Linked DNA regions of Mus musculus. The protein of the gene in region 3 interacts with the protein of the main gene of each other region in a biochemical or structural test. Links are inferred from orthologs where the notes say so. Each region holds a gene or a part of one and is shown on either strand. Other genes may lie near its edges. The genes, in order: Anapc11, Rlim and Ube2k.

What was found.
Region 1: the proteins of Ube2k (region 3) and Anapc11 form a complex in vitro, tested with the Homo sapiens proteins (3 studies listed by BioGRID). The link is inferred for Mus musculus from reciprocal best matches to the Homo sapiens genes UBE2K and ANAPC11.
Region 2: the proteins of Ube2k (region 3) and Rlim form a complex in vitro, tested with the Homo sapiens proteins (2 studies listed by BioGRID). The link is inferred for Mus musculus from reciprocal best matches to the Homo sapiens genes UBE2K and RLIM.

Annotation. Positions count from the first base shown.
Region 1 is NC_000077.6:120,597,124-120,601,207, forward strand, and holds the start of Anapc11 (anaphase-promoting complex subunit 11), read left to right. Parts: upstream 1-1,408; 5' UTR 1,409-1,747; intron 1,748-2,118; 5' UTR 2,119-2,136; coding exon 2,137-2,245; intron 2,246-4,084. Other genes in the region: Alyref (THO complex subunit 4), read right to left, coding at 512-643, 982-1,215. UniProt on the Homo sapiens protein: Together with the cullin protein ANAPC2, constitutes the catalytic component of the anaphase promoting complex/cyclosome (APC/C), a cell cycle-regulated E3 ubiquitin ligase that controls progression through mitosis and the G1 phase of the cell cycle.
Region 2 is NC_000086.7:103,963,974-103,967,957, reverse strand, and holds part of Rlim (E3 ubiquitin-protein ligase RLIM), read left to right. Parts: intron 1-1,277; 5' UTR 1,278-1,301; coding exon 1,302-1,467; intron 1,468-2,623; coding exon 2,624-2,707; intron 2,708-3,914; coding exon 3,915-3,984. UniProt on the Homo sapiens protein: E3 ubiquitin-protein ligase.
Region 3 is NC_000071.6:65,589,073-65,593,056, reverse strand, and holds part of Ube2k (ubiquitin-conjugating enzyme E2 K), read right to left. Parts: intron 1,182-3,984; coding exon 1,082-1,181; intron 1-1,081. UniProt on the Homo sapiens protein: Accepts ubiquitin from the E1 complex and catalyzes its covalent attachment to other proteins. In vitro, in the presence or in the absence of BRCA1-BARD1 E3 ubiquitin-protein ligase complex, catalyzes the synthesis of 'Lys-48'-linked polyubiquitin chains.

The DNA.
Region 1 (4,084 bases), on a different chromosome or scaffold from region 3:
CGAAGGCATGGAGAACCATGACCCAGGTAAGACCCAGGAAAGATCGCCAGTTAAGATCCAGCACAGAGACGCAGGCTGGAAGATACTCTCAGCCACCTTTCTCAGCATCTGGGAGATGCTGGACTTCCTTCTCCTATCAGTTCACCATATCGAGCATAAATCTGAGAAGCAAGCACCTTTCGGTCATGCTGGGACCGGAGTTGTGGCCAGTCTGTGCAGGTTAGAAACTGTAAGCTCTGGCACAGGGCAGGCGCTCACAGTTTGGACAGCAGACAGGACTCATTTTTAGGGGGGCGCGCGCACACACACACATACACACACAGTGTGTGACATCTTCCTGCAGCCTGGCTTATGGGGTCGTGCTCAAACCCTACTTTTTCTGAGGCCAAGGCTCTCAGGGTGACAGTGGCTGGCTCTGGGCAGCCTAGGGGAGGGCAGGTTCCAATCTGTAAAGGATCCTGGAGCCCACGTCCGCGTGGGACGAGGAAAGCGGAGAGCTCCCGTCTCCTACCTGAATATCAGCATCTGACACTCCGAAGTCCAGGTTGGACACCAGCAGCTTCCCGCCGGTCTCCACGCCGGCTCCACCCCCGAAGCCGCTGTCGAAGAGGTCGTGCTGCCATTTGTCGGGAAGTTGTTTCGGCTGGAGAGAAACCGTAAGCACAGAGACACTCGTGAGACTCGTCCCGGGAGCCCGCGACACCTCGGCGACGCTCTCCCGTCGGCCCCGCGGCCAAGGTCGAGGAGCCCCGAGAGTCCCCCAGCCCCGCCGCTCCGCTACGGACACCCAAGTTCTCTCGCAGCGGCCCCCGCCGCCACGAGGCTGGACCACGACCGGACAAAGCGTCCCGGAAGATCCTGGCCTCGGGACGGCCTCGCCCCCGCCCACCCCTCGGCCGCGGTCCCGCGCGGGACGCTCACCCGGTCCCGGCCGGCCCGGGCGCACCCTCCCCGGCCCGCGCCGCAGGTCCCCGCACTCACTCTGCTGTACGGCGCCGGCCGGTTCCTGCCGCCGCCTGCGGCGCCGCGGGCGATGGCGGGCCGGTTCCTCATAGGCCCGCCGCCTCGATTCACCCGCGCGGCGGCCTGCACTGCGCCGCCGCGGCCGCCCTGGGAGCCGGCCCTGCCGCGACCCCGGCCCCCGCCGCGGCCTCCTCGCTGGCTCCGGTTCAGCTTAATGATGTCGTCCAAAGACATGTCCATTTTGTCGGCCATGGCGGGCGCGGATTCGGGCCTCGGATCGAGCCCGCGCGTCAGCACGCCGCGGCGTCACTTCCGGCGCCTCCCCCTGCCTTCCGGCGTCGCGGGCCCGAAGCGAGCGGCGATTGGTCTGGGCGCGCGCGATTCCGCAGAGCGCCTGCGTACGGCTCGCCGCGGTGGCTGGCGCTACTTCGGAGGAGCCCGACGCGGCGCGGTCGTTTTTATACATTCCCGCGCGGAGGCAACGGAAGGGCGGGGCGCCTCGTGATTAGGCCGCGGAGGTGCGAGGGCGAGCAGGGGGCGGGGCCTGCGGGCGCCTCCCTGGGAGGCCGGAAGATCCTCGGGCGTCGCCTGGGTGCAGCGCAGTGTGCGCGTCCCGCGTCCCTCCTCACCGTGCGATCGTGGGGGTCCCGGCCGGTCCGTGGGTCCGACTTGGTTGTTTTTGCTCGAAGGCTCGGTCTCCTGACGAGCTGGCGTCCTCACCCCTGCTTTAACTTCGCGGATTAGTGACAGTCACTCTTTCCATATCTTTAAAAGCGAGGCCCTGGTTAGTGAAAACCAATGTTTTGCGTGGATGCGGAGGTTTTGTTTTTGTTTTTTTGTTTGTTTTCGTTTCCTGTTTGGCTGATCTGCTTCTGCCCCGGGATTAGAGGCGTGTGCCACCGTGCCAGACTACATGAGTGCAGATCTTTAAAGGCATCCTTAAAGGTGGCAAAATAAACTCGTGCCATTAATCCCACAGGCTCTCCTTGCCGTCTTTAAAGACAAACACGTGCCTTTTTCTTTCTTTTTGGTCGGGACGCACGGAATTTTGGAAGATGCCGTTCTTGACGAGTGCAGCACTTGCCGCAGCTCCATGACTTTGAGCTTAGGTGCTTTCGTATTCCGTACTAACTCCAGGTCATCCTCTTCCCTCAGGTCACAGGCTCTGTTGTCATGAAGGTGAAAATTAAATGTTGGAATGGTGTGGCCACTTGGCTCTGGGTAGCCAATGATGAGAACTGCGGCATCTGCAGGATGGCGTTTAATGGCTGCTGTCCAGACTGTAAGTGTCTTCCTATGCGCTCTCAGAACTTTAGCCTACTCCACCAGCCTAAAAATCCCTAGGTTTCCCAGCACTGGGTAGGCAGAGACTGGAGGATCTCTGAGTTTGAGTTTAGCCTGGTCAACAGGACAAGTTACCTAACCCTAACCGAAACCCCACCGGACAGTGGTGTTGCACGCCTTTAATCCCAGCACTCTGGAGGCAGAGGCAAGTGAATCTCTGAGTTCAAGGCCAGCCTGATCTACAGAGGGAGTTCCAGGACAGCCAGGGCTACACAGAGAAACCCTGTTTTGAAAAAAAAACAAAAAACAAAACAAAACAAAAACAAAAAGCCAAACAGTGCAAGTTCCAGGATAACCAGGGCTACAAAGAAAAGCCCTGACTTGATAAAAGACCAGGTAAAACAAAAACAAAAAATTGTGGGTTTTAGTTTCTATTATCTGAGGGGAAAGTCGACAGAAAAAAGAAGCAGAATACTTCAAGCCCAGGTTTGTCTAAAGACCCCATCCAGCATGATGGCAAACACCTGTAATACTAGCATTTGAGAGGCAGAGGCAGAGACTAGTGGATCTCTGAGTTGGTGGCCAGTCTGGGCTCCACAGTGAGACTCTGTTGCAAAAACACTTGTTTTATTCAGGTCATGGGGGCACAGACCATAATAGCACTTAGTAGAGGGAGGCAAGAGGATTTTGAGGTTGAGGTCTGCCTAGGCTACATAGTGATGATCCATCATTCCCTTAACCCCTCAGAATAACACTTTCAGTTTGTATCTACTCACAATAAAGCAGATCAAATTAGCAAATTGAAGTTCAGACATTGGTTGCCATATTGTCATGCTTGCTGGGCTTTTTGTGCTAAGAATTGTAAACTCTAAATAGATGCTTATAAACTATAAACACACTTCAGCCAAGTCTTACCTCTGTAGCATCCTGGGCCAACATCTGTTCCCTAATGTCTAATTACTGGGGTTTGGGCTATACTCAGCATCTCAGTATTCTTGGTCTTTCTTCCTCTTTGATCTAAATAGCCTCTTCTTACTCTACTTCCGTTTTGAAGGGGCTTGAATTTTATGATCATAATGTGTTTTGCAGAATGCAAAAGGTTTTACCCTTTTTTTGTTTGTATGGCTCCTATGTTTCTGGTGTGTTACATGAGGTAGAAATGTTTGATTACCTTGAGAGGAAAACACATTTACGCCAGGTGGTGGTGGTGGCAGCACACACCTTTAATCCCAGCACTTGGAAGGCAGAGGCAGGCGGATTTCTGAGTTTGAGGTCAGCCTGGTCTACAGCCAGGGCTATACAGAGAAACCCTATCTTGAAAAAAAAAAAAACATACAAACAAACAAAAAAACTCACATTTACCTTTTGAGACAGGATCTCATTATAGCCTTAGCTAGTCTGAACGTCCCTATGTACACCAGGTTGGTCACAAAGTCACACCGAGATCTTCCTACCTTTGACTCCTGAGCTATGGGACTAAGGGTGTGCACTGTAGTGAGATTTTTGCTTTCTTTAAAACCACAGAAATGGTATAAGGATGTGGTTTTGCTTTGATCCCAGGTGTGGGACATGGGGCTTCTCAGATACTTCATGGCAGCAGATAGTTTCTGAGGGACTCTTCAAAGAACACATAAACGCCAGAGCCCAGTTACTCAGTTTGTCAGGATTTGTCAAGTAGTCTAGTACAAAGAAGAAACAAGGAGTAGAGGGAAAGATTAGATATCCTGACTGTGAAGACCAGACTTGCCCCAGTGAACTATAGCCCCAATCAGCAGGAACGATATAATCACACAACACCCCCTTCCCCTCCATCCTTTTTTCTCTCCTACCTAGAGTT
Region 2 (3,984 bases), on a different chromosome or scaffold from region 3:
CAACATGCCTCTCAAGGACTTAGAAAATAGTGTCCACATATAAGAGAAAACATTATTTTTCTTGGAGTCTGAGTTATCTTACTCAGGTTGTTTTTCTAGCTTCATCCACTGACCTGTAAATTTCCATTTTTAACAGCTAAATAAAAGTACAATGTATTTTTTTAATGAAATGTTTTAGACGAGATCTTTCACCTTGGGTTTTCTAATTAGCAGAGCATAGATTTTTTTTCTTGAATTGGGACCATTTTGACAAATATTTTAGTCTAATTTTATACTACTTTAGCGTACTGATAGTATCTGCCAAAGTGCAACCTTGGTCATCTAATGCGGTTAAAAGTAGGTAGCCGGGCTGGTGAGATGGCTCAGTGGGTAAGAGCACCGACTGCTCTTCCGAAGGTCCAGAATTCAAATCCCAGCAACCACATGGTGGCTCACAACCATCCGTAACGAGGTCTGACGCCCTCTTCTGGAGTGTGTGAAGACAGCTACAGTGTATTTACATAAAATAATAAATAAATCTTTTAAAAAAAAAAGTAGGTAGCCTCTGCTGTGCTTTTTATATGTGTTGTTCAAATGTGTTTCTCAGTTACTGCAAAGAGTCTATACTTGCATGTTTTTAAAAAGTCACAGGATGATACACATGCCATACTTGAAATCATATCAAGTTGCAAGTGCATTGAGGTAACTGGAAGTGCAGAGAGCAGCGGTGCAAAGTAGTGAGGGACCCACTTACAGTCTGTCCCAGTTGCTCATTTCACCCATAACACAAGCATGCATGGCTGTGCTTCACTAAGACTAGGGATACTGGTGTGTATTTCCTATTTTTCATACACGGCAAACATTTTTGAGAATGTGAAAATAGCCAAGCATTATGGCACATGTCTATAAGCCCAGCACTTAAGAGGCTTAGGCCGGAGAACCGTGTTTGAGTTGACTGGACCACACAGACTTCCCTGGCTGAAATAACTATCAAACCCAGGAGCTGGATGTGTATCCTCATGGTGGGACGTATTCAAGGAAGGCCCTAGGTTCACTTCCTACCATGTAAAAAGCCATTTTTAGATTACAAAGAAGATAAAAATAGGCCACATTACTGAATTAGGCCCAAACAAACACTATGGTTGCTACCTTACCAGTGCTTTCCCAAAGTTTTGTTATATTTAATTTATTTGTTTTTCTTAAAGTTCACATCTATTCCTGCATTGTAGTTTCCAAGTAAATAAAGGTACGCAATGCATAATGGCGTCTGTTTTCAATTTGGTCTTTTTGCTTTTTAGATAATTTTCCACTTGATCACCAAGATGGAGAACTCAGATTCTAACGATAAAGGAAGTGACCAGTCTGCAGCTCAGCGCAGAAGTCAAATGGATCGCTTGGATCGGGAAGAGGCTTTCTATCAATTTGTGAATAATCTCAGTGAAGAAGATTATAGACTTATGAGAGACAACAATTTGCTGGGCACCCCAGGTAAGCTGCATGTAATATGTGATATATATATATATATATATATATATATATATGTTGCTGGGTTTTTAAAGAAACAGCTTGTTTTATAATGTTTCTTTACTTAATGAAAAGTTACTAATACAGGAGATGCAAAATGGCAGTTGCTACTTTATTTATTTATTTATTTATTTAGGTCTTTCGAGACAGGGTTTCTCTGTGTAGCCTTAGCTGTCCTGGAACTCACTTTGTAGACCAGGCTGGCCTTGAACTCAGAAATCCACCTGCCTCTGCCTCCCAAGTGCTGGGATTAAAGGCGTGCGCCACCACGCCCGGCTGCTACTATATTTATTGCCTGGTTCATAATTAGAGTATTCCTGTCAGAGATGTTTGTGATTTTTGAATTATAAATCTTTAGTGAAATGGATCAAATAAGAATTGAGGTGAACAGTTTAGCTAGCTATGCATCTGGGTACAAAATAACCAATGGGCCTTTGGTGTCGAGGATAGACTCATCGACTCATTTTGTCATCTCATCTTATTCTCTGAATGTGTCCCACCTGCAACCCTACAGAGTTAGCTGTGGGTAAACAGCTTGTCCTTAGTTATAATTTCACTGAGGTATGGTCTCATTTGATCCTAGTTACAACTGACTATTTCCACTAACCTGTGGACGATTTCATTCATATTCATTCTCTCTCTCTCTCTCTCTCTCTCTCAATGATTTTAGAGCTTTATTGTAGAAATGCAGAGAGAAGGTAGAAAGAGGGAGACCAGTCATGGCCACGTGGAGAGAAGGGGGGAAGGGAGGGGAGAAAGGAGAGTTAGAGTAAGTAATCACTTTCATTCATTTTCAGATGTTAGGGTTTTAGCAAGGCTTAGGCGGAGCTTTTTGAGCAAACAGTACTAAACTTTAATTAGAATGTCTTAACTGCACTTCTGGCCCTGCTGTTATTCAGTTACCCTGCTTTCTGGCAAAACAGTTTAAAGTGCAGATCACAAAGCCTGACAGGACATGGTGGCACTTGCCTGTAATCCCAATTGCACAGGAGGTTCTTGAGTTTGAGGTCATCTTGTATGGACCCTTCTTTAAAAAGAATCATTGGGGGGGGTGTGGAAAAGACAGAAACTGACCTGCTGTTCTTAATTTGTAATTTTGCAACACATGTTCAACTTTCAGGTGAAAGTACTGAGGAAGAGTTGCTCAGAAGACTACAACAAATTAAAGAGGGTCCACCACCACAGAGCCCCGATGAAAATAGAGGTACATTTTGTTTGGGGAGGTGGGTCGGGGTTGGAAACATAGGAACTTTCGAATAGTGAATTTCAACCAAAGATTATCCAGAAATGCCACAAATTAATCTGGTGCTAAGTACTCATAAAAAGAGAAATGTCATGCTCTTGCTATTTGGGGAGGAGGGTGACACTGCTGTGTCTGCCTCACCTTTGGATTGTTTGTTAATTGAGCAACAGTGAAAGTCACCTATTTAAGTTGAGTTTCCTCCCCTTGGTTTTCTACATCCGTTGAAATGTTCTCCTACTCATTCCTTATTTATGAATGTGGCTTTATCAGCAAAAGGAAATGCTGTTGTTAGCCCAGCACCTTTCAGTTGGGTGTTTGTTCCTCCTGGGGGCTGTTAGCAATGACTGGAGACATGTTTGGTGGCACAGCTGATGAGAGTTTGCTGTTAGTATCAGAGAGCAAGTATGCTGGGGAATGGTGCTTCTCTGCAGGAACCTAGGAGCTATGATGGAAGTGTAAATTACTCTAGGTTCAGACTGTTCATTTAATAATAGTCTTTAGTTTTATAGAAATTGAAAATCTTGATAATTGACAAATATTCAAGTAATTATAAACTGTTAGCCTTGTTTATAGTTTTGCTCTGGCTGTAATAAATATTCTTACATTTTAAAACAACTTCGTGGTATCAAAGACAGCTAAAACTGATGAAAATTTGGTAGAAATATAATTGGACCAAAACCCCAACACTCCCCCAACCCCCACCCCCGACTATGATGATGTAGTTTGATTTTGTTTAGACAGTGGCCTGGAAAATTCATGCCTTCCCACAGCCTCAGCATCTTCTAGAGCAGTGGCTCTCAACCTTCCCAATGATGTGACCCTTTAATACAGTTCAAGTTGTGGTGACCCCCAACCATAAAATTATTTCATTGCTACTTCAAAGCTGTAATTTGCTACTGTTATGAATCATAATGTAAATATCTGATCTGCAGATGGTCTTAGTTGACATCCATGAAAGCCATGAAAGGGTTGTTTGAGCCCCCCAAAGGGGTCATAACCCACAGGTTGAGAACTGCTGACGCTTAAGTGTCTTTTAGCTTTCTCTTTTCAATGTAAATTTGTAAAATTTGTTCCGAGTTGCACAATTCTTTAATGTTTATGTGCATCCCATGAGTGTCCTAATCGTGTAGTTCCTTTCTCTCCCCTTCCCCTTCTTTGTTTTAAACAGCTGGAGAGTCTTCAGATGATGTGACCAACAGTGATTCTATAATAGATTGGCTTAACTCAGTCAGACAGAC
Region 3 (3,984 bases):
AAGAAAGACTTCTGCTACCAAATATTAATAGCACATATGTGCAAACTATTAAAAGCTGTAGTTCTAAGCAATGGTGGGCTGTAGAGATGGCTCAGTGGTTAGGAGCACTGACTGCTTTTCTAGAGGTGCTGAGTTCAATTCTCAGCAACCACATGGTGGCTCACAACCATCTGCAATGTGATCTGACGCCCTCTTCTCCAGTGTCTGAAGTCAACTACAGTGTACTCATATACTTTAAATAAATAAATAAATATTATGAAAAAGAAAGAACATTTTAAAAAATTATTTTTATTTGATGTACATTCATGTTTTGCCTACATGTACGTCTGTGTGAAGGTGTCCAGAAACTGAACTTACAGACTGTCATGAGCTAAAATGTGGGTGATAGAGAACTGAACCTGGGTCCTTTGGAAGAGCAGCTAATGCCCATAAGTGCTGAGTCATCTCTTCAGCTAAAGGGAACCCATTTTATAAGCACATTTTTAAAAATCTGAAGGTTGGCTGATAAATGCTTCCTTAAAGAGGAAGCAAGGAAAACAGAACACAATGACATAAACACGACTATAATTTTAAAAACTCTTGAAATCAAAGAATATCACAAAAGAGTTAAGTGTACAAGGAGAACTTAAGTCACACAGAACCTCTGCAATGTACATATCTGGACATAAGTGATAATGGAGTTCCTAACAGGTATTTGTTTATTCTTTATTTGTTATTTGTTTATTATGACATGATTTTATTATTATTTTTAAAGATTTATTTATTTTATATGAGTACACTGCAGTTGTCTTCAGACAGCCCTGAAAAGGGCCTCAGGTCCCATTATAGATGGTTGTGAGCCACCATGTGGTTGCTGGGAATTGAACTCAAGACCTCTGGAAGAGTTCAGAGTTAAGAGCAGTCTTAACCACTGAGCTATCTCTCTAGCCTGTAACATGATTTTATTATATGTGACAAAATTATTTTATTAAAAGAAACCATTTCCAAATTTAGTACAACATAGAATGTTAATATGCTAATATGAAATATTTAAAACTACACACACAGGTCTAAGAAAGTCTTTCAAAAGCTACTTTCTTACCTGATTCGCTACTACTGCATCTTGGGGGTCATCTGGTTCTGCAGCCGCCAACAGCGCTTGCAATGACAATAATACCGTGCGCAGAGTCATTGCTGCTGCCCTAAATTTCAAATTAGGAAAATATCACCGTTAAAAGGACTTTGAATGACATAAGCAAAGTCTGTTTTCTGAATGGAAACAAAAATACGCTAGAACTAAAAATTGTATAGTTAACTAACGTGTACCAATTACCAATTTTCTATTCTTCCAATGAGTCAATTTCTAAGATTATTCAAGTCACCTCACCCTCACCTTGCTGTTTTCTCTGCTTGTTCCATTTACTTACTTTGTAAGCTTTATCTTAATTAACATTCTTCTTAGATATTATGTGTGAGTTTCTGTCTCCATGTATGAATGGTGCTAAATGTCTGGTGCCCATGAAGGTCAAAACTGGAGTTCGAGATGCCTGAGTCACTGTATGGATGCTGGGAACTGAGGTCAAGCACTCTTTAAGAACACAGGCTCGCTCTTTCTTTTTCTTTTTTCTTTTTCTTTTTTTTTCTGAGACAGAGTTTCTCTGTATATCCCTGGCTGTCCTGGAACTCACTCTGTAGACCAGGCTGGCCTCGAACTCAGAAATCCGCCTGCCTTTGCCTCCCAAGTGCTGGGATTAAAGGCGTGCGCCACCAGTGTCCCGCTAGAACACATGCTCTTAACCACTAAGCAAGTTCTCCAACCACTTACCCATATTTCATTATAAAGTGATAATTTAAGTTACCAATACTAATAAACTGGAATTTTAAACAGACTTTTAAATGTCTAAATCATGCCTGCATAAGTGAACTTGAGTACAGGTGCTTGGAGAGGATAAAAGCAGTCCATCCTCTGCTGATGGAGTGGGTACCAAGGACTCCCCTGGGATCACTGCAGAGCAAGCAGCCCATGCCCTCAACCACAGTTAAGTCACTACAACTCTTTAATGGCATGCTAAGTAAAACACGGAGATAAAGATCAATCCATAGTATTCCAAAATAGGACAATTTTCTATTTAAAATATTACACTTGAGGTTGGAGAGATGGCTCACATTATATGCGTGTACTATTCTTGCAAAGGGCCTGTGTTTGCGTCCCAGCCCCCATTGCTGGCTTGCTGGCAAATGACCTAAAACTGCCGCTCCACGGGACTTACTGCTTCTGGCCTCTGGAGGAACCCACATAAACTATATACCCACACCAATACACAGACACAATTAGGAATAAAATTCAATCTCATAATTTAAGTCATGATCCTAATTATATTTATACCAAAAGCCCTTGTCTTTATGAAATAATTATTTGTTTAAAGTTTGCTTCACTAATCCTGAAATGTTTAGAATGTTGACAGGGCAATGATGGCACATGACATCTGGAAGGCAGAGGAACATGGATCTCTGTAAGTTCAAGACCAGCCTGGTCTCCAAAGCTAGTTCCAGGACAGACAGGGCTACACAAAGAAATCCTGTCTCAAGAAAATCTCAGAGCAAACTCTTCTAGAGGAATTTGACTGTCATCCTAAGTGAGGGCCTTGTAAAGTCAAGCACACTACACTATAGCTTTATCTCTAACCACAGTAAGTTCACTTTTTAACCACACAGACGGTTATTCTAAACCAGCCTTGTCTGGTTGAGTTCCTAATTCCTAAAATCAAACAACAAAAATTCCTAGTGACTATTTTCAGTTTCCTTGAATAATACACAAGAGACAACCCTAGATGTTCAGGCAAAAAGAAGAAAGAAAAGAGAAGAGAAGAGAAGAGAAGAGAAGAGAAGAGAAGAGAAGAGAAGAGAAGAGAAGAGAAGAGAAGAGAAGAGAAGAGAAGAGAAGAGAAGAGAAGAGAGAAAAGAAAAGGGAAAGGGAAAGGGAAAGGAAAAGAAAAGAAAAGAAAAGAAAAGAAAAGAAAAGAAAAGAAAAGAAAAGAAAAAAAGGAAGGAAGAAGGGAGGGAGGAGGGCGGGTGAGAGGGGGGGGAGGGAGAGAGAGAGAGAGAGAACACGAAGGAACTCAACTTTCTGGATGCAGCATATGTTAATGCAGTAAATGTCAGTAAATATTCTTCCTCTTACTAGTGGCATGAGTAGGTCTAGGGACTTGGTTTTGGGGACAGAGTCTACTATGTCATCTTAAGACAGATGAAAAACAGGACCCTCCTGTCTCTTCCTCCCAAGTGCAGGAACTTCAGGACTGTATTACTCATGCTCATTTGAGGACCTCACCTAAGACCTGCTCTATAAGAAGTTAGGAGTGGGGCTGGAGAGATGGATCAGTGGTTAAGAGCTCCGACTGCTCTTCCAAAGGTCCCGAGTTCAAATCCCAGCAACCACATGGTGGCTCACAACCATCCGTAATGAGATCTGACTCCCTCTTCTGGTGTGTCTGAAGACAGCTATAGTGTACTTACATATAATAATAAATAAATAAGTCTTTAAAAAAAAAAGTTAGGAGTGTTTGAGCAAATGGGCCAATGAAAATAACCAAAGACAGTATTTGTAGAACCCTGCTCTTTATATGCTAATTGGCAAGAGCTGTTCACACACAATGTAGGTCTATATTTTATATATTAAAATACCCACTATACACTAGTCTCTAAAATGATCTTAGGAAAGTCAGACATGGTAGCAAGCTCTATAATCCTAGCACTTGGGAGATGTAGGCAGGAGGTCTAGTTCACCCTAATATAAAGGAAGGCTCTGTCTAATATAAGGGCAGAGAAGAAAACAATTAGAATGAAAATGTCTAATTGATGAATGTAGTTTTCTAGAGAAGCTAGAGCAATTGTGGATCCTGGCATGATGCTTCCAGAACAGCTGGCACTGCCGGGCACAGTGATATAAACTTTCACACTTAGCACTTGGTAGACACAGAAGACTAGGACTGAGACCTGACTGAG